5 linked regions of the Nothobranchius furzeri genome follow. The protein of the gene in region 1 binds, or shares a complex with, the protein of each later gene. Links are inferred from orthologs where the notes say so. Each region holds a gene or a part of one and is shown in the gene's direction. Other genes may lie near its edges. The genes, in order: ubtf, taf1b, polr2h, polr1b and polr1h.

What was found.
Region 2: ubtf (region 1) and taf1b share a complex: the UniProt entries of both Homo sapiens proteins name them as parts of the pol I pre-initiation complex. The link is inferred for Nothobranchius furzeri from reciprocal best matches to the Homo sapiens genes UBTF and TAF1B.
Region 3: ubtf (region 1) and polr2h share a complex: the UniProt entries of both Homo sapiens proteins name them as parts of the pol I pre-initiation complex. The link is inferred for Nothobranchius furzeri from reciprocal best matches to the Homo sapiens genes UBTF and POLR2H.
Region 4: ubtf (region 1) and polr1b share a complex: the UniProt entries of both Homo sapiens proteins name them as parts of the pol I pre-initiation complex. The link is inferred for Nothobranchius furzeri from reciprocal best matches to the Homo sapiens genes UBTF and POLR1B.
Region 5: ubtf (region 1) and polr1h share a complex: the UniProt entries of both Homo sapiens proteins name them as parts of the pol I pre-initiation complex. The link is inferred for Nothobranchius furzeri from reciprocal best matches to the Homo sapiens genes UBTF and POLR1H.

Annotation. Positions count from the first base shown.
Region 1 is NC_091745.1:10,210,441-10,214,542, forward strand, and holds the start of ubtf (nucleolar transcription factor 1), read left to right. Parts: upstream 1-1,302; 5' UTR 1,303-1,440; intron 1,441-1,935; exon of another isoform or gene 1,936-2,092; intron 2,093-3,574; 5' UTR 3,575-3,596; coding exon 3,597-3,633; intron 3,634-3,804; coding exon 3,805-3,977; intron 3,978-4,102. UniProt on the Homo sapiens protein: Recognizes the ribosomal RNA gene promoter and activates transcription mediated by RNA polymerase I (Pol I) through cooperative interactions with the transcription factor SL1/TIF-IB complex.
Region 2 is NC_091742.1:16,192,736-16,196,868, forward strand, and holds the start of taf1b (TATA box-binding protein-associated factor RNA polymerase I subunit B), read left to right. Parts: upstream 1-1,323; 5' UTR 1,324-1,455; coding exon 1,456-1,473; intron 1,474-2,725; coding exon 2,726-2,824; intron 2,825-3,773; coding exon 3,774-3,861; intron 3,862-4,052; coding exon 4,053-4,133. UniProt on the Homo sapiens protein: Component of RNA polymerase I core factor complex that acts as a GTF2B/TFIIB-like factor and plays a key role in multiple steps during transcription initiation such as pre-initiation complex (PIC) assembly and postpolymerase recruitment events in polymerase I (Pol I) transcription.
Region 3 is NC_091748.1:62,882,975-62,887,066, reverse strand, and holds the start of polr2h (DNA-directed RNA polymerases I, II, and III subunit RPABC3), read left to right. Parts: upstream 1-1,284; 5' UTR 1,285-1,457; intron 1,458-1,690; exon of another isoform or gene 1,691-1,745; 5' UTR 1,746-1,757; coding exon 1,758-1,830; intron 1,831-3,767; coding exon 3,768-3,851; intron 3,852-3,938; coding exon 3,939-4,032; intron 4,033-4,092. Other genes in the region: lisH domain-containing protein ARMC9, read right to left, coding at 157-282, 402-476. UniProt on the Homo sapiens protein: DNA-dependent RNA polymerase catalyzes the transcription of DNA into RNA using the four ribonucleoside triphosphates as substrates.
Region 4 is NC_091752.1:7,757,649-7,761,668, forward strand, and holds the start of polr1b (DNA-directed RNA polymerase I subunit RPA2), read left to right. Parts: upstream 1-1,212; 5' UTR 1,213-1,283; coding exon 1,284-1,460; intron 1,461-2,221; coding exon 2,222-2,389; intron 2,390-3,610; coding exon 3,611-3,757; intron 3,758-3,822; coding exon 3,823-3,955; intron 3,956-4,018; coding exon 4,019-4,020. UniProt on the Homo sapiens protein: Catalytic core component of RNA polymerase I (Pol I), a DNA-dependent RNA polymerase which synthesizes ribosomal RNA precursors using the four ribonucleoside triphosphates as substrates.
Region 5 is NC_091751.1:25,535,705-25,539,763, forward strand, and holds the start of polr1h (DNA-directed RNA polymerase I subunit RPA12), read left to right. Parts: upstream 1-1,248; 5' UTR 1,249-1,352; intron 1,353-1,922; 5' UTR 1,923-1,945; coding exon 1,946-2,063; intron 2,064-4,059. UniProt on the Homo sapiens protein: Core component of RNA polymerase I (Pol I), a DNA-dependent RNA polymerase which synthesizes ribosomal RNA precursors using the four ribonucleoside triphosphates as substrates. Can mediate Pol I proofreading of the nascent RNA transcript.

The DNA of each region.
Region 1 (4,102 bases):
TTTTCATGCTTTAAGCCAAAGTTCTAGGCTGCTTTCAAGGTGATCACGTAAATCCCAGTACTATAAAGTTTTTATTCAAAACTAGTGGATGGCGACTTGTTTGCCAAGAGTCTTAATGAGATAAATTATAGTAGGATTGTTCCTCAGAGAGAAATGTGTTCGTTATTCTTATATTATGTTTAAAATACTATTTAAAACATAAACGTTCTAAAAACATGATACGCAAGCATAATATTCTACATGGGAAAATTACTATTTTAGCTGCCTTTTTATCCTGCTAATAGGTTAAATAGTTGGTTTTATTTTTAAGTCTAGTATTGTCTAGTTTTATTCAGCCATATTCATGATTTCAATCTTCATCAAAGGCAAAACAAAAAAGTAATTAACAATTACACGTTAAATTCGATTTAATACTTTGTAACCACATACAGGAAACATGATATAAATTACTGTGAAAGATAAATACGAACAGGATAATTGAAATTTAAGGTAAACAAAAAAGATAACACAATTGAATTCTTCAAACTATATTATATAATTTTAATTGTAATTGTAGAAGTTTATTTAAACAGTGACAGTGCACAACTTGACATTAACCACAAAAGAAAGATGCAATGTACCAGGTTATAGTGGGGATGCTAATTTCCACCTGTAGTGCCTGGGAAGGTTGATATTAAAATCACTAAACTAAAACAAAAGACGACTGTTTTTGTCCAGTTAGCTAAATTCCTGACACTAATCCAATAATACTTTATTCCTACTGTAAGTGAACATAGCACAGTTTAACAAGACTGAGTGCCTGAAAGTCTTTGTTTTCCTTCAATCGGACGGACTGGATTGGACGGCCGGGGGTTCCGCCCACAAACACACAAGGTGGAGTTGAAAAAATAACATGCTGGGCTAAAATGAAGCTGTCAAACAGCCAGTTACGTTTGAGTCAAAGAGGTTTGGTGCCGGGGGAACGGCACGGACACCGGAAATAAGAGTTAGGAGAATAATCAGACACTGATTGGTGTCAATTATAAACTTTAAAGATGTGTGCGTTCAATGAAAAAAAGTTCACTGGTGGCGTTTAAATTAGGTAACCAGTAAAGCGATTTTTCTTTCAAGTGTAGGCAGACGAAATGTTAGAGATGCAAACTTCAGTGGGAGACGTGAAAGTCGGGCTCGATGAGAAACAATAAACTCTGCTGGCTGAGCTCAGAAAATCAGCGGCGTTAACACTGGGGAACATGGGGATGTGTCGGTGTAGCGGAAATGGTTGGATGGAGAGAAGAGAGCTGCTGCACGTTGACTGGAGGGAGACAGCGAGAGAGATGGAGGCGGGGGGAAGGACCATCTCTGCGGGGACTGGAGCCCAGGACCGACGGCGCAGTGCTGGCTATCGTTCAACCCTCCCCTTCTTCATCCACAGCGACGCGGAGGCTCGCGCCGAGACAGGTAAGCAGCACGAAAGTCGGTCGGTTTCATAACCACACGTGGAAAGAGCGCGATAAACAAACCAGAAAAGCGGTTAAAAGTCGAAAAATAGACATTCTGTTTTTAATGTTGTCTACCAAAGCTCCTTAGGCGGCAGGATCTTTGTGGTAACGAAACAAACTCCCCGCTGGAAGGGCGCAGACGAGGTCGGCCTTACCCGAATTTCTCTGCCCAAACAGCGGGGAAGAAGCTGGATGTAAGACCCAGTGGTATGATGTCTACTATAAATTACACCCAGTGAATTCATGAAGCGAATTAGTTTCACGTAGCATCGGGATTTAGCTAAGCAATCGTTTGTTTCGCGTGGGGAAATGTTTTCCGGTAGTTTCCGCGCCGAGACCTCCACGCGGCTGTTGGCGGAACAGCTAGCCGCCTCTCGGTCAGCCATCAGGGATCTCGGTTTAATATCTCACCGTGAGGAGACTCGCCCTCCCCTCTCCCCCTCTCTCTCTCACTGACTAGCCCAGAACCACCGACAACCGAGCTCGGAGAACCCGCCTTTCCGTCCTCGCTTATGCGCTTTTTGGAGCTAGGGAAGGGAGTCTGCAACGCCCCGGCTAGAGCTTTCGGCTCCGTTTTCAGTGTTCGCAGTACGCCATTGGACCTTGTCACGGTAGGTTTGCTTACAAGAGCGGGGCTGGTAGCATGGCGGACCTGGAGCCGTTTTGTCGCGCCAGAGAAGCTGCTCAGCCGCGGATTGTTCTTTAGATATCCGATAATGAAAGAGCCGATTAAAGCCCACATTTTCCTCGAAACGGAGAATAACTAACACTAACATGAAGTAATTCAAAATTAGGTCAATAATGTTGTTTCACCGTACATATATTTTTTATTTTAATTATGTTTCGCGCCTCCGCAAATAATTTAACCTAACATTTATTAATTTTCGATCTGGTGTAACTTAATTTAGAATATTTTGGAGCATTTTGTATGGTTGTCAAATAATTCATGTTAATTATACGTTGTAAACACAAGTTAATGTGATCCCTAAATCGTCCTTGTGTGACACAAATTTTGATTAGTAGCAAATACTGTTGACTAACTGTGCTACCTTAGATGCTGGTATGATTTTAGGCTTCTTTTCGACATGCTAAGTTACACGGCGTCTTATGTTTTTTTTTCCACATTTATGTAGTATTTTTGACTAAACGTCATAAATCCGACGTTTGAATTTGACATTCTGCGCATTTTACATAAGAAATATGTCGAAAGTAGTGTTAGAAACGACGCGAGGAGACACGGTTGAGCTATCAAGGACAAGATGAACAACGGTCATCCGCCATCATTGGAGCACAGCTCGGCTACGCCTCGCTGAAGAATGCTCTGGCTTTTTGGTCCAAAAAACAACTGCGTGATACCACAAAGCGAACAAAATGTTGAGTGAATTATTCTAAAACGCACACATAAACCCCCTCACGCGTAGAATGCTAGTTTAGTCGTTCTTGTTTTGGGTAAACATTAGTGGAGAAGACTTTAGGGCTGCGTGGCGGAGCTAGATCCACGTCCAACGGTGATGAGGCGTCTCCGCCGAGTGGCGCATTTGGCTGCAGTGCTTCCAAGCTGCCATTCCAGGCTGTCGGAGACCGAAAGCAGATCCCCCGTCCGTGGTCAGCTGGTCGCCTACAGCTGCCTGTCTGTCCACGTTCATTCGCTTCCTCCTTCCGTGGATCCTCCCCAACCTCCGCTCCGACAGAAAGTCCTCCATTACCGAGCAGACCGAGCGAGAAAATGGTCGCTCCTGAGCGTCCACGATACTTCTGTTGTAGAATAAGGACAGCACTAATTCGCCAAATTCCGGTTGGCCCAAAAATAAAAAATAAAAAAAAATAAAAAAGAAGCTCGACAGGGACTCCTGTTGTCGTCGCTAGATATGCTTAGTTGAAGCCCTCCGCAGTGTTATTTGAGATTTGAAGCCGTCACAAGCAATAGCCTATGCCTCACCATGCAGCGTAAACGTTTAGGGGCGGTGTAATGAACATAAACCATTATGTCGGCACACATTTCAACTCAAACGACTTACAACAGAGATCAGTTATAATAAAGTTAGAAAATATGAATTTTAGTGATTTTGATTAATTTATTGTTTCTTTTGTAGTTCAAAAATCGCATTTTCACAAATGAATGGAGAAATGGAGGCAGCGACACATGACCAAGGTAGTATATTTATGAGTCATTTTTATTTATATATATTTTTTTAACAAATGACAAATACTTGTATAATCACGAAATTGTTTTAATGAATTCCACATTTTGTCATCATACTATAAACATAATGCAACCATACTAATAAATCCATGAACCAGTTTACATGTATTTTTTTATCAGTGTGGTCGCAGGATGACCTCCTAAAGCTGCTGGAGGCCATGAAAGTGGCTCTGCCACAGAAAGATCTGACTAAATACAAAACATCCGAGTCCCATCTGGACTGGCAGAAGGTGGCCTTCAACTCCTACACTGCAGAGATGTGTAAACAGAAATGGCAAGAGGTCTCTAAAGAGGTGAGATGCTCAGATCATGATTTTTAGGTCGTAAACCTTTTCAGATGTAATATTTAGATTAAGTTCTTAAAGAGGTCCTCCAATGAGAAACAAGTTTGTCTTATTTTTGGAAATGATCTGTTACA
Region 2 (4,133 bases), on another chromosome or scaffold:
TGATATCCGGAAGGTGCAATTCAATTGTATTTTTATATTTATTTCTATTTTTATTATTATATAATATTTTCTGACGTTCTGTAACCTCTGTCGGTGTTGCGCTGCTTTTTTTGGAAACTGAATTTCCCGAAGGAATTCACCCGAGGGATTAATAAAGTTTTTTATTATTATTATTATTATTATTATTATTATTATTATTATTGTTCCCTCCTCTCCATGATTCATCATGCTGCCTCGCTGCTACCTACAACTGACTGGAAATTGTTTGTTGTTGTTATTGTTGTTGTTAGCATCAAGGGCAACATGCCAATTATCACTTGTAAGTCGCTTTGGACAAAAGCGTCTGCTAAATACATAAACATAATTTGGATTTGAATCTGAATGAAATAACTGACACGTGCACCAGGATAAAATCAAATTAGTCCAAATGAAAGCCATTGGACCAAATACATTAATTTAAAAGAAAGTCTAACTGTGAAAATAGTTTATTATTGCCAATTTGAGTTACCTACTTGTTTTTCACAATTAGAAGCCTGAGCTTTGGTGAAACATGTGAAATTATATAAAATATATATTTAACTCAAAATAATAGCTACATTAAACATAAATACATAATATGTAAGCAACTATCTTGTAACAGTTTATTTGATATTTTCTTGGTACACAGCAAATGAATAATTTCTTAAATTCTTTGTTTTGTTTTAGTGTTTGCTTTTATTTTGAAAGTGCGCCTCAGCTTGTTGTGCGTGTTGTCGCGCGCTCGACGGGCTCGTGAGTAGAACGCGTGTGTGCTCTCTGAGCTCGTGAAAGATGAACCCAGCAGTTGGGTCGTGAATTTTAGCGATTGTACAAGAAACATAAGCTCCTAACTTCCAGAACCACAACAGAAAGACACAAAAATAAAGTTTCTTCTGAAAAGCGACTCGATTCGTGACGTAACATAAGAGAAAGACGGAAACATCTGGCGAGTCTTTTTATAATCTCTGATCTCATCCAAATCCAAATCCGCTTTTAAACGAGAGGCCAAAGTCTGTAAAACACCACCAGCAAACATGACGGCCGAACCGAACATCAGATATGACAAAAATACAATAAAATACAGCAGAACTCTACATAAAATACCTTTTGAATAACTTTGTGAAAAATCTAAATGAGCTTTCAATAGTTTTAATTGGAACGTTGTAAAACATTTTCTTCCGGATGTACTTGACACGTAATTGATGAATGTTGAATTACACAGACAGCAAAAGCGAGTTATAACCATAGTTGGCGGTTGTAGTTCACATTGCAACCTGTTGGTGGCAGTATAGAAACCTTGCAGTCGCTAAAATCAACCGATGAAGATGAAGCGGTTCCAGCTACAAATACGCTTCTCTCATTTTAGCTTGAGAGCTAAAAGGAAAACCTAATGAATAAATTAAACACATAATGACCAGACTTTAGTTTTAAATCACGATGGATGAAGACGCTACGGTAAACACATTTAAGCATTTTTTATTTGTAAATATGTCGCGTACATTTAATTAAGGGGGAATGTTGATGTTAGCTAGCTGGTTGAGGCACACACAACCCTATTAACAACACGCCTTCTTTCATTATTATTAAATACGAAGTCCGAAAGAAATCATTTAACAACTTGGTCGGAATCTACAGCGGTCGGTTTAGTAATCGGCATAGATTTAGTAACGTTACCAACACGATCAACGTAGTTATTCAATCGTTCATGTAGAGGTTAGTAGTTTTGGCTAGCATTCCACCTAATTAGAGCTGTGAAGAAAAAAGAAAGAAAACGATCTTTTATGTAGCGCCTGTCAAGATAAAAATCACGTGGAGCTTAAAAAAAGTATAAAAAGGATTTAAAATATGTTTAAAATGAGAAAAAGTGGGAAACCAGTGGATCACATGAAAGGCGGAATAAGAGCAGAACACGGAGAGGGAGGTGATGAAGGTCCCACTAAAGCCTGCACAGGTGAGTTTAAAGGAGACCACGTAGTCCACTGACCTCAGGCTCGGGGGAGAGAGGTCCAAAGTCTGGGGGCCACAGCAGCAAATAATCTGTCACCTTTAGCCTGGTGCTGCACAACCAGTAGGCTTTGGTCACTGAACCTCAGGGACCTGCTGGGGGTGTAGGGACTAAGAAGATCACCAATGTAAGATGGTGCTTGTCCATGTAAGGCCCTATAGACCAGAACCAGGATCTTGAAATGAACCCTGAAATTGACTGGCAGCCAGTGAAGCTGGAGGAGAAGCGGGGTGATGTGGGTGTGTTTGGAGGACTTGGTCAGAAGCCGAGCACAGGCTTTCTGAACCAGGTGGAGCAGAAGCTGCTAATAGTTAAGCTTTTATTTGTGTTTATTATTTATTGAGTATTTAAACCCGTTTTGATGCACCAACATCCTGCTGTGGTCAAGAAAGTAAGATTTAACATTTTACTCTTTCTTTCTGTTTCATTTAATTTATCTAATTTTTCTTCAAAAGCTAATTTTTGTCTAACTCACTGAAGGTTCTCATTTTTCAAGTTTCTTACAAACATTTTTCTTATTATGCATCAGATTTTAGATTTAATTTATTACTTTTTATTTGCTTTTTTATTCAAAGTTTGTTGTGAATCTACTTGTGTGAGTTGTGAGAATATTAATAATATTAGTAATAATTTTTAGGTTTTTGTCAAAAGCTCAGGTGAGTTTGAGTTGCTCTCTTCACCCGTACCTGTGTTCCTGTCCAGGCTGGCTACAGGGAGCCCTGCGCTCAGTGTGCAGCGGTGAACTGGGGCATCTCAGAAGAAGGTCGTTTCTACTGCATGTCCTGCCACAACGTCATAGAGGTAAACAACAACAACAACTTACAAGTGATGTAGGTGTGTTTGGAGGACTTGGTCAGAAGCGGCGCACAGGCATTCTGAACCACCTGCAGACGGTTCAGGGAGGTTCTGCTCAGACACGTGAAAAAAGAGTTACAGTAGTCTAAACGTGAGGAGATGAAGGTGTGGATAACTGTCTCAAGTTCAGAGCAGGACAGAATGGGACTCAGCTTAGCAATGTTCCTGAGATGGAAGAAGGAAGAGCGAACAAGAGAACTTACATGAGAATCAATGAGTATGTTACCATGGTAACACTTCCTCAGATGTCTTAAAACTCTGAAAGTTAGAAGCTTCTAAATTCTCATATTGTGGTTTCTGAACATGTGTCTGCATGGACGTTATTAATGTGGGTTTAAGCTTTCCGTTAGCTTTAGCCATGCTAGCTTGCACTTCTGAGAGGCTGGAGCATTTAGTGTTAGACTGCTAGATAATAATAATAATTATAATAATAATAAGCACAGTGAAGGAAACTCCTGAGTTCACATTTTAAAGAGACAGTTGGTACCTTGCTGCAGCTGTTTACTGCTGATAATAATAATAGATTAGATTTATAAAGAGCTTTTGGGCTCTCTGCTGGTGATGGAAAACTCAAACGTAGCCATGCTGCCCTGGGGTTGTCTGAGAGGTGAGGTTGTCATTTTGCACTCCCTCTGATTACTGGACAGCAGGCTCTACTGATCTTAAGGTCCTCATCAGCTTGAATGATAAATGCTCTAGACTTTCTGACTGATTTCCTGTTTCCTCTGCCTCCCAAGTCCAACGCTTTTACGTACAATTGAGCCTGTCAGCGTCATTGCCATGGAACGTGGTTAAAACGGGTTTTTGGCAGCTGTAGTGCCTGTGGCTGTCAGCAGGAGGCGCTGTTTTATCTGAGGCCTCCCCTGATGGTTTTTATACATGTTCCTGTGCTCAGAGGACCATAGAGGTGGTGGACCTGAGCGTCGCTGGAAGCTCCAACAGATTAAAATCTATCGCCAAAGGACCCAGAACCAGTAAAGAAGGTGGGTGTGTCCTCTGAGGTGGTTTCAGCTGGAATAACCACACACACACATACACCACACACACACATACACCACACACACACAACTTTATTTTACAAACACAGACCTTTCTGGTCTCTAAAGCCGTCCCCAGATGTTTTCTAGCTGCAGGGGAACTTCAGTTTAGTTTCTGACAGGTTGATGTTCCTCAGAGCGCGGCTACACCTGGCTGGTCTGTGAGGGGTTCCAGTTCATCCTGAAGAACCAGGCTGACGCTCTGCTCCGGCTGGGAG
Region 3 (4,092 bases), on another chromosome or scaffold:
ATATTCAAAATCAGCTGGACCATCTTGGCATTTGCATACTTGTTAGGCTGTGTACGTCCTTTTGTAGGATTACTGGAACTACATAAACGTCTCCCCACTATGACAGAAAACACACCAACATAGCAGATTTCCATGTTGAAGAAGAGCATTGTTTACCTGAATGACACGAGTCTTAGAGTCTCTTAGAGCATTTCCTCTCGGTTTTGAGACCAGCTTGCCTTTCCTTTTGCATTCCTTGTCAAAAACCTGAACAGTCTCCTCAAACTCCTCAAACGTGAGGTACTGCAACAAACAAACAAACATGATTCAACTTAAACAGTGAAGGATGACACTGAGTTTTGGTGCATTTCATTCATTTTCAGCGAACATCAATATTGCTGTGACCCAGATATCTTCTCTACCTCTTTGATCATCCCAAGAAGATCAGCTTCTGTTGCCAAGACGTCCCCCATCTTGGCTTCCTCACTGGAACTCATGTGTGTACCGAAAACATTTAATACCCCTTTAGACGGGAACGATTTCTGCTTTCATTCAAAAACGTTTATAGATCTAGGGTTCAAGCTAAAAGGTGCAAGAACAAAAGAGCAAAATACATAAGTAAAAACTTAATTCTATGAGCAGTAGTAAAAATAACCAAACACCAAAACGCACAACGGAATGCTAGTGTAACTTCGGCAGGCATGTGGGGTTTTATACCATCTTAAATGGTTTAACATCAAGATTAGCAACAACTTATGAAGCTACAAGCTATCTAATTAGTTGACACACGACAGGACATTAACATGGCTCCTACCTTATTCGCACGTAATTTGATTTGGGAGAATTGACGTACAAACAAGTTTGTGATGCGTTAACAAGTAAACGAGATCCATAAAGTACATTTTTGCTCGCTTTGTCGGACAGTGAACGAAAAAATAGCTGGCAACCACAAACAGGAGGGACGCTAAAAATACCTAGCAACCAGAGGGTCACCGGAAAGTAAATGTGAGTGTCGTAAACTAAAACTAACTAAATGTATTATATTTTACAAGAAAATATATTGAATAACCTTAAGTTATGAGGCATGCGATTTAGAAAAACAAAAGTAAACGATTGTAAATTATAACAACGCACAGACAAACGTAATTGTTGACCTTTTTTAGGATACATTATGCAATTTTAATGGTAAAACTATTATTTTAGTACGAGTATTATATTTTTACAATTTCTTATGTTTTACTTTGCTTTTTAACATAAACATTTATTTTTTCATTTTATTTTGTTTTATGAGAAGTACTTCCCGTGTCAAAGGTTAATCACGTTGTTTCTGCGCGCCACAGATTGGCTAGATAGCAATGAATTAAATTACTCTTAAATAACAAATCTAGCTTATGTTTTGAACAGTCGCTGTTGTCCTAAAGAATCGAGTAGTTGCGAGGCTTCTGTGTTTGCATTACGACATCTAAAAATAATTTGGGGTAAGTGCAACAAATGAATTAACAGTATGCTAAAGCTAGCTGTTAGCCAAAATAGGAGATTCAACGTGGAAGATAAAACTTGCCAACTTTAACTGACGTATGTCCTAGTCTTATTTTTATATAAAAGTATTTTATGGTAATATGCTTATAGCAGTTGATTTCTTGTGCTACCTAACGTTTCATTGCTTTTTAAAAGTTACTATAGTTTATTACGTTTTATTTTTTGTTGACAGGTTGTTCAAGTCATAACAGGGGCTTAAACATTTGATCCCCTGCACAAATTCACAGAGTGGGCCAACGATGGCTGGAATTTTGTTTGAAGATATCTTTGATGTGAAAGACATTGATCCAGATGGCAAGAAGTTTGACAGAGGTACTTATGAAGTACAATAACGTATTGGGGTGACTTATTTAATTATTCCATCATATTGTTTTTGTCGTATTGACATAATGCACAGGTATATTGACTCATGAGTAATCATTTATTCTACGTTTTTATTTGCCCACGTTAAGGCAGACTTTACATAGTGATGTTAAAGAAAATCTGGCATCCTGAAGTTAAAAGCTAATATAAAATTGAAAGACATTCAGCTCATTAAGAGAGCAGTTAAAAAACCAACTTGCTTATTGGATTTAGTTTATACAGGTGCTGGCCAGTAAATTAGAATATCATCAAAAGGTTGAAAATATTTCAGTAATTCCATTCAAAACGTGAAACTTGTACATTATATTCATGCAATGCACACAGACCAATGTATTTCCAATGTTCATTACATTTAAATTAGATATTCATAAGTGACAACTAATGAAAACTCCAAATTTGGTATCTCAAAAAATTAGAATATTCTGAAAAGGCTGAATATAGAAGACACCTGCTGCCACTCTAATCAGCTGATTTACTCAAAACACCTGCAAAGGCCTTTAAAAGGTCCCTCAGTCTTGTTTTGAAGGCACCACAATCATGGGGAAGACTTCTGACTTAACAGCTGTCCAAAAGACAATCATTGACACCTTGCACAAGGAGGGCAAGACACAAAAGGTGATTGCTAAAGAAGCTGGCTGTTCGCAGAGCTCTGTGTCCAAGCACATTAACAGACAGGCGAAGGGACGGATAAAATGTGGTAGAAAAAAGTGTACAAGCTCTAGGGATAACCGCACCCTGCAGAGAATTGTGACGACAAACCCATTCAAAAATGTGGGGGAGATCCACAAAGAGTGGACTGCAGCTGGAGTCAGCGCTTCAAGAACCACCACGAGGAGACTCATGAAAGACATGGGATTCAGGTGTCGCATTCCGTGTGTCAAGCCACTCTTGAACAAGAAACAGCGCAAGAAGCGTCTCGCCTGGGCCAAGGACAAAAAGGACTGGACTGATGCTGAGTGGTCCAAAGTTATGTTTTCTGATGAAAGCAAGTTCTGCATTTCCTTTGGAAATCAAGGACCCAGAGTCTGGAGGAAGAGCGGAGAAGCACAGAATCCACGTTGCATGAGGTCCAGTGTAAAGTTTCCACCGTCAGTGATGGTGTGGGGTGCCATGTCATCTGCCGGTGTTGGCCCACTCTGTTTCCTGAGGTCCAGGGTCAATGCAGCCGTCTACCAGGAAGTTTTAGAGCACTTCATGCTTCCTGCTGCTGACCAACTTTATGGGGATGCAGACTTCACCTTTCAACAGGACTTGGCACCTGCACACAGTGCCAAAACCACCAGCACCTGGTTCAAGGACCATGGTATCCCTGTCCTTGATTGGCCAGCAAACTCGCCTGACCTTAACCCCATAGAAAATCTATGGGGTATTGTGAAGCGGAGGATGCAATACGCTAGACCCAACAATGCAGAGGAGCTGAAGACGACTATCAGAGCAACCTGGGCTCTCATAACACCTGAGCAGTGCCACAGACTGATCGAGTCCATGCCACGCCGCATTACTGCAGTTATTGAGGCAAAAGGAGCCCCAACTAAGTATTGAGTGCTATACATGCACATTCTTTTCATGTTCATTCTTTTCAGTTGGCCAACATTAGAGAAACAAACATTTTTTCATTGGCCTTTAGAATATTCTAATTTTCTGAGATACCAGATTTGATGTTTTCATTGGTTGTCACCTATAAATATCAAAATTAAACGTAATAAACATCGGAAATACATTGGTCTGTGTGCATTGCATGAATATAATGTACAAGTTTCACGTTTTGAATGGAATTACTGAAATATTTTCAACCTTTTGATGATATTCTAATTTACTGGCCAGCACCTGTATAACCTACAGCAGACAATGTTTATAATCTACTGACAAATTCTCACCTATTGCAGTGTCTCGTCTGCACTGTGAGAGTGAATCTTTTAAGATGGACCTCATCTTGGACGTGAACATTCAGATCTATCCTGTGGATCTTGGTGAGAGCGTAAGCCCTTTTACCGAGGGCACTCTTATTTAGTTAATTCTTAATACAATAAAAATCTGACTTATAACATATTATAAAGGTGACAAGTTTAGACTGGTGATTGCCAGTACTTTGTATGAAGATGGAACACCGGATGATGGAGAGTACAATCCTCAGGATGATCGACCATCTCGGTGAGACATTTTTTGCACTCTTCCATCATCTCGTAGTGTGTGTGATCTTTTGATGTTTGA
Region 4 (4,020 bases), on another chromosome or scaffold:
TATAGGATAAACAAAGTGAATTTAAATGATTTTTTTTAAAACCAATTCAAATTTTTTTGCAACGTTTTGAGAAAAATACTGATATAAGTGGCTCTCTGTGTGATGAACTCCCTGAAGATAAGTTTTGTCTTTTAGTTGGGCCCTATATCCCTCATTTTCTTTAGAACATACATCGTTTCACTCACCATCCACCTGGGATAGCCAGTCTATGGGGATAGCTTATATAGCCAATTGGCATATTCAAAATTGTTTTGATAATGAGGTAAAACAATATAAAACGACATAGGCACATAGCAACTCGTTTTTTACAAACCTTTACTTAAAATCAGAACATTACAAAAATTACAAATAACATCAAAAAGAACACACATTTTACAACTCACAGTATCAGGGGGTTCATAATACGACCAGCCAGCAGAGATACACCACTGGGTGTCGCTGTCGGATGACGTCAACAGCTAACAGGCTAAAAGCCCAATAAGTACAGGAAGCTCTCGCCGGGTGCGGTGGCGCGTGCCTGTAATCCAAGCTACTGGGAGGTTTAGGCTGGCGGATCGTTTGAGCTCAGGAGTTCTGAGCTGCAGTGGACTATGTCGATCGGGTGTCCGCACTAAGTTCGGTATCGATATGGTGCTTCTGGGGAAGCCCGGGACCACCAGGTCGTCTAAGGAGGGGTGCACCGGCCCAGGTCGGAAACGGAGCAGGTCAAAGCCCCCGTGCCGCTCAGTAGTGGGATCGCGCCTGTGAATAGACACTGTAGTGCAGCCTGAGTAATACAGCGGGACTCAGTCTTTTACAAGCTTTTGTGTTAGATAGGTTATTTTACTCGCTTTCCAGATGCTGCTTTTGCACATTTTACTGCAGTTTAAGCGTTGATTCTCCCCCGCTTCTCTATTGAAAACTGCAGCTGTGTGGCTGTGACACACCGCCCCCTTCTGGAAAATACGCGACCACCAATCACATCAGCTACCCTCACAGTAGAAGTGAGCGTTGCTTCTCAACAATTACACATAAAAACAGACTTTGTTATGAGATCAACTGATGTGCTTTATGAACATGAGCAAAGAAAAAGTGAATGAAAACAGTCCCATGAGCAGCGTGACGTCAAGTGCAAAGGGAAACTGGTGTAACGCATCGTTGTCTCCACAAGAGGGCGCTAACAAATCACTCGAGAACAACAACAAAAAAAAAAAAAGCAACGACAGATCTACTTCCTGTTTCAGTGATGTACTTCCTGTTTCGTGATGTCCATGTGGTAAACAAGCGTCCCGGGTTACACCAACATGGACTTTTCAGCTAAGTGGAGTAATGTACCGACAGGACCGAGTCTAAAGAACCTGACCGATGGAGAATTCGGTAAACTGAAAGAGACGCAACACGCCGCCGTTCAGGACCTGACTAAAGCCCACATCGAGTCGTTTGATCAGGCTGTCACTGATGGACTCAACCGCCTTGTGCAGGTCAGTGAGAAAGTCAGGTTTACAATTATTTTTTCACTTTAATAATTTAAAACATCATAAATACTCCAGCAGGGATATGAGAAATGACTAAATACTACTCCTGGTTAATTTCCTCCTCTCGTTGCCCTCTTTGACTTTAACATGTTTAATCCACGTGTGTCAGATCTGGTAGACATATATCATACATGTGTCTCTAACGGCAATAAAAAACCTTTATTTAAAACGGAAACAATGAACAGTTAATTACGAAATAAAATGTAGTAAATAAATGTAATCGCTAATTTGGACCAGTTACTTTTTATGAATGAAATGTTTTCATTTCAAACTTTTCAAATTAAAAGCATGACTTCTGACCACCTGAATGAATATCTGTATTACAGTGAAAACACATAAAAAATTAGATGCAGCCCCCTTGAGTGTTCAGAAAAAAACAAAAGGATATGAAGTGTGTGTGGGGGTGGGGGGGTACACGGAGTCAATTTAGAACATAAAATTCGAGACTACAGGCTGAAATCGTATTGCACAGAAAAGTAAAATGACAAAATTGGCCAATAACATGTTTTAAAATTTAAAATTTATCATTTCTACTTCATATATCAGAAAAGGGTCAAACCTTTACTCAGCAGTAGAGCAGAAGCTTCACTAACTATTAAAGGCTGTAGATGAGGTTATTATTATTGTTATTATTTTCCTTTGGGGTCATGTTGATTTTTGGGATCGTCTGGTTGCTTTTTGGACAGTTTTTGTTTGATGTTTTCCAGGCGATTCCTCCGATAGAGTTCATGTGCAGAAATGAAAAGTTGAGCCTCACGTTCGTTGATGCAACCATCCAGAACCCGCTGGTCGCCAAAGGCAGCATCTGCACAGAGATGAAGGTGTTTCCAGCAGAATGCAGAGGAAGGAGGAGTACTTACCGAGGAAAAGTGGTGGTAAGCTAGGCTAACTCTCTCACCTCCCTGTTGGAATGAAGAAGAAAATTTCATTTCTATAGCGCCTCTCAAGATAAAAATCACGAGGCGCTTCACAAAAACAAAAAATGTAAAAATATAAAAAAGCATTTAGAAAATGTTTAAAAATACATTTAAAATGAGCAAAAATAGGCAATTGTGATTAAAAAAAATTTAATAAAGAGAGAGAGTTAATAGGAAAGAGGGAAATCAGTGGCTGGAGGAGAAGGGGGGTGATGTGGGTGTGTTTGGAGGACTTGGTCAGAAGCCGAGCACAGGCACTCTGAACCACCTGTAGATGGTTCAGGGAGGTTCTGGTCAGACACGTGAAAAGAGAGTTACAGTAGTCTAAGCGTGAGGAGATGAAGGTGTGGAGAACTGTCTCAAGTTCAGAGCGGGACAGAATGGGACTCAGTTTAGCAATGTTCCTGAGATGGAAGAAGGAAGAGCCAACAAGAGAACTGACATGAGAATCCAGGGTGAGAGCTGGGTCAAAGGTCACGCCAAGATTCCTGACAGAAGTTTTGGTGTGGGAAGCAAGCTGACCAAGAGAGTCTCTGACTTTGGGAACCAGCTTGTCTGGGGCACAGATGAGGATCTCAGTCTTATCTTCATTCAGCTGAAGAAAACTCCCAGCCATCCAGGTTTTGATAGAGTCTAAGCAGGTGTGTAACAGCTGCAGCTTAGACATCTCATGGGGCTTAAAGGAGATGTACAGTTGGATGTCATCTGCATAAAGATGGTAGGAGATTCCTTTGAAGGAGCTCAGGATGTGCTGAAGAGGAAGCAGATAGAGGAGGAAGAGCAGAGGCCCCAGCACAGAACCTTGTGGGACACCATGGGTAAGAGAGGTGGTGGAGGACCTAAACTTGGAGACGGCCACAGAAAAGAAACGCTCAGAAAGAAAAGAGGAGTACCACTCCAGAGCAGTTCCTGATAGGCCTACCCAGTCTCTCAGCCTCTCCAGTAGCAGGTGATGGTCAACAGTGTCAAAGGCTGCAGTCAGGTCCAGCAGGACCAGAACAGAACCGTCCCCTGCATCACTGTGAGTCAGAAGGTCATTAGAGACCCTAAGAAGAGCTGTTTCAGTAGAATGAGCTCTACGAAAACCTGACTGGAAGCTATCATAGATGTTCTGTTCATCAAGAGCAGCTGTGAGGTAGCAGGTTTTGTAGTGAGGCGTGTGACGATGTGTCATCTCAGGCAGACGTCAGCTGGTCCATCAACGGCTTTCCCAAAGGCATCATTAAGCAGTCCCTGGGCCAGGTGCCGATCATGGTGAAGTCAAAGCTGTGTAACCTCTACGGCATGTCCCCCAAGGAGCTCGTAAAGCATCACGAAGAAGCAGAGGTGAGCCGAGCTGACGCGACTCCTCCTGTTATTGGATGTCGTCTAAACGCTGGTTAATTGAACAGGAAATGGGAGGTTACTTCATCGTGAACGGAATCGAGAAGGTGATCCGGATGCTGATAATGCCGAGGAGGAACTATCCCATCGCCATGTCGAGACCCAAGTGGAAGAGCAGGGGTCAGGGCTACACCCAGTTTGGTGAGTAGACACTGAGAGGAGCTTCAGCTCGTTGTTCTGTGCTGATTCCTTTCTTTCGTGAAGGT
Region 5 (4,059 bases), on another chromosome or scaffold:
TGATTTAAATCCAGAAATTTGTCACTGAGGCATGTGAGACATGATGGTAGAATTGATATGTTGTTAATAAAGTTGCTAAAACATTTTAATCTTCATGATAACATTTTGCAACACGACCTTCAGTCACAAAGCTTTATTCTAATGCTCCACTTTTTGTAATCTTTTTCTGGGATGTCTTGAAAACAACAAAGGAAGATGAAACAACCTTCTGTGATCCATCCACGTCTGCTGGTGAAGTTCCGTTTCCTCCCTGACACATTATATGGCAGGAATTGATGGACCATTTAATTACTGAATGTGTGATGTCTACATCATCAAAGAAAGATTAATACTTGCATTAGGGCTTATTGTTTGTCATTCTTTTACTGTGTTCAAATTATGAATTGTATTTTTGATTTTCATTAACATTTAAAAGGAGTCCACAAATAATATAATATGGAAACAATTCATTAAAATAAAACACCTATGGAAAAGTCAGACATCCGTTCAAATTTTCTACATACATGCACCAAACAAATGAATGATCATAGGTTTCAGCCTGATAAGAAAACACAGCATCACTGTCTCAGCTGGTCGGTTCCAGTTTCACTCCAATGTGAACTAAACTAAATCAGAAAATTTCAAAATTTGTGATTTTAAGAACATTTGGTTTGTGTGACATCTGTAACCACCGATGTGTAGATTATTCTAGTGGCCTTTTTTTTCTTCTTCTTTTTTTTTTTTTTTTGTAAAATAGATAAAAATAAACAGTTATGAGCAGTACTGTTTTTGACATGGGCGACCTGGGTAATGGCCCAGGATGGCATCATGAGAGGGGTGGCAAAATGGGTACGAAAAAAAAACTTATTTTGGGAGCGCAGTGCCTGAACATTATGCTGGTGTGTGTAACTTTTGGAAACATTTGTTCTGCTGCGTGCTGCAGAGGGAGGAGGACAGGTCTGCTGAAGCGGCTTGAGTGAAGCAGCATCTAAAAGTAAAGTGTGTTCGCCCAGGGCACCGAACAGGCTAGGACCACCCCTGGTCATTGTTGCCCCAAATCTCTGCACAGTAATTATGAGTTTAGTGTTGTTTATTATTTCCACGTATGCTTTACTTTGGTATTGAAATGCTTCTGGAGATGCTATATGATATTTCCACCTTATTTTATTGTTTGACACCATTTAATGGTATTTGCGAATTAATTTAATTATTCCCAAATAACATTTTGGTCATTAACTCATGTCACGTAAACAAGCGTGCGACACTAGCACGTCCTGCGTCATCAGCCTGCGACAATAACGTGATAGGACCATATACATAGCTGTGGATAGGACCCTAGGACCTCTACTGCAAACAAGTGACCGGTGAAAGAGGTTTGTAACGTTTTATACTGACTTAATAAATGATGACAGTAGCGCTGTTTTGAACTAAATGTGTAAAGAATAGCCGAATACTAATATAAACATGTAAAAGGTTTCCAAGTAGCTCCACGTGCTCAATGTGCTGCTGCTACTACTGCTAATAATAACAATAACATTCACTCGTTAGATTTCATCACACAGCCAGGAGGTCTTTTAAAGTGTTAATTTATAAAGTGCTAAGTCTTCATAACGGAAGTTACGGTGTAACTATGGTTCTGTGAGTTCCTGGATGACTGCCAGTCACAGGGGTCACTCGGAACTTCTCGGGCGAGAAGATCCCGGGAGACCCGAACGTAGCTATCGGCGCGTAATTTATAGACTCGCGACCAGGTGCGCTACGTGTCACGTGCGTGACTTTGTTTACATTAGTACTCGACCTGCGCAGAGCGCGAGGAGATACATCCACTCTGTTTACTGCCACTGGCAGTCAGGAGGGAACGAAACAGAACCCATGTGAACCGAACGGGAAACCAGTGGTTCATGGTTTTGATTGTTGTTTTCAACGTGTCTGTGTTTCTCAAGAGTCAGCAGCCCGGTTCGACGGGATGTCTTATTTTAGTGGTGACCCGAACTTCTGTCCTGAATGCGGGAACGTTCTTCCGGTACCAGTAACCTCCAACACTGTCCTGTGTCCTCGCTGCTCCTTCTGCATTCCTGTTTCAGGTAACGTGTCCCAGAGCCGTTTCTAGCTTTGTGAGGGCCTGATTCAAGAGGCTGTTTGGGAACCCGGGTGGAGGTGGTGATGATTCCTCAAAGTACCACAAGTGTAGTAAAAAGAAAAAAAAATCACTTCACAGTAAATGTATTTAACGTGATAGTGATGCACCGATATGAAATTTTTGGGCTAAAACAAATATACAATATTAATATCACCGTTATGGCCGAAAACCGATACCGATATACCGACATTAATGCTTCTAAAATCAGCAGATTTTGTGTAGGGCTTGTGATCACACGTGATTACGCATAGCATTCTGCAAACTGTGAAATAAACGGTACTGTCGCAGAGTAGAAGCAGATTTGGGTGAAAGAAAGTGTTAAATCACATAAAATCCCAACAAGGATGTGGAATATACAGGGACATGTTATATAAAGACGTCGGGGACCGGTATGTGGACAAAATCATCATTATAAATGGTTTTGATCCACATAAAAGACCCAAGACTGGAGCACTGGTGACATATTGTTGCAGCTGCAGTTCTGCATAACAGACTTTTTCGGCTATCTTGTTTAACGTCCAGATGAGAGGTAAACGTTTAATTTGTTGGTTTTTCTAGTAAAACAATCAAAATTGTCATCCCTCAGAAGAAGTGTAGCGAGAAAAGTTATGTTGTGTATCATTAGCTTACCGGTAGGTGAGTGTAGCCTCTGTGTACGTGTGTGTTTCGTGTGCATGTTGCGGTTGAGGGAAAGAAACGATGTATAAAAACGTACACCATCTGTAATTTACCAGAATGAAAATAATTTGGAAGGTGATGTTTGGTCGCCTTACAGCTGCGATCCAAGTGAGCTAACAAGACTTTATGCTAGATACTTGGTCTCTGTCGTTTTGCCACTAAACAGGAAAACTGTGGAAAGTTAGCTTGTTTTTCACCTTAATTCCACTGGCGATCACGTGTGTCACATGAATTAATAATACATAAAAAGTATCAGCTGTTGTGCTACAGCTACTATTTACCGTCTATGTGGTAGATTACTGTAAATACAGGCATGAACATGTAAGCACACAAACAAATACATATATCAGGTGCATCCTGCATGGAGTAGTGACCGTAGCGTTTAAGTGGCTGGCTGACTAATGACGTCATAATGTGTTATAAATCCCATCTACTGGTGGAATCGGTGGTCTACGGGAGTGCTCCTTCCTGCAGCGGGGGTATATCAGTTTCTGACTGAATGAGCTGCTCAGGTTGATGTGTGTTGTTCATGATGGATGTTAGCTTAGCTAGCATCCTCCTCTCGCCCACCACCGATTCCAGGGGGCATCCCAGTACAGAGCTAGTCCTCTGCACCAGTTTGCCAATTCTGTTCTGGTCCCTGTCTGTACATCCGCTTCCCCAACAGGCCACTGCATAGAAAAGGGCAGATGCAACCGACAAATCATAAAAAGTCCTTCACAGAGTTCTGCATACTCTGAAGGACCTCAGTTTCTCAGCAGGTGGAGTCAACTGCATTTGAGATGGGCAGATGAAGGACAGTCCTTGTGGTAACTCTGGGAGAGCTTAGTCTGACTGATTGTTGCCTTTCTCCTTTATTGTTTTTTCATTAAAAACAATACGCATCCAAGAAGAAGAAGAAGAAAAGATCTCTTCTATAGCGCCTCTCAAGATAAAAATCACGAGGCGCTTCACAAAAACAAAAAATGTAAAAATATAAAAAAGAATTTAGAAAATGATTAAAAATATATTTAAAATGAGCAAAAGATAGACAATTGTGATTAAAAATGTAAATAAAGAGAGAGATTGAATAGGAAAGAGGGAAATCCAACACAATTATCTTGAATTTTAGAAACACACACACTTAAAAAATACATATTTCAATCAGGGATTACAATTATTATTTTTTTTTTCAAAATTTATCGTTTTAGCTTTTTAGAACAGTTTAATTTGCTTGTTGCTGTCATAACAAAAACACCTACAAAAACTATTCACATGAATAC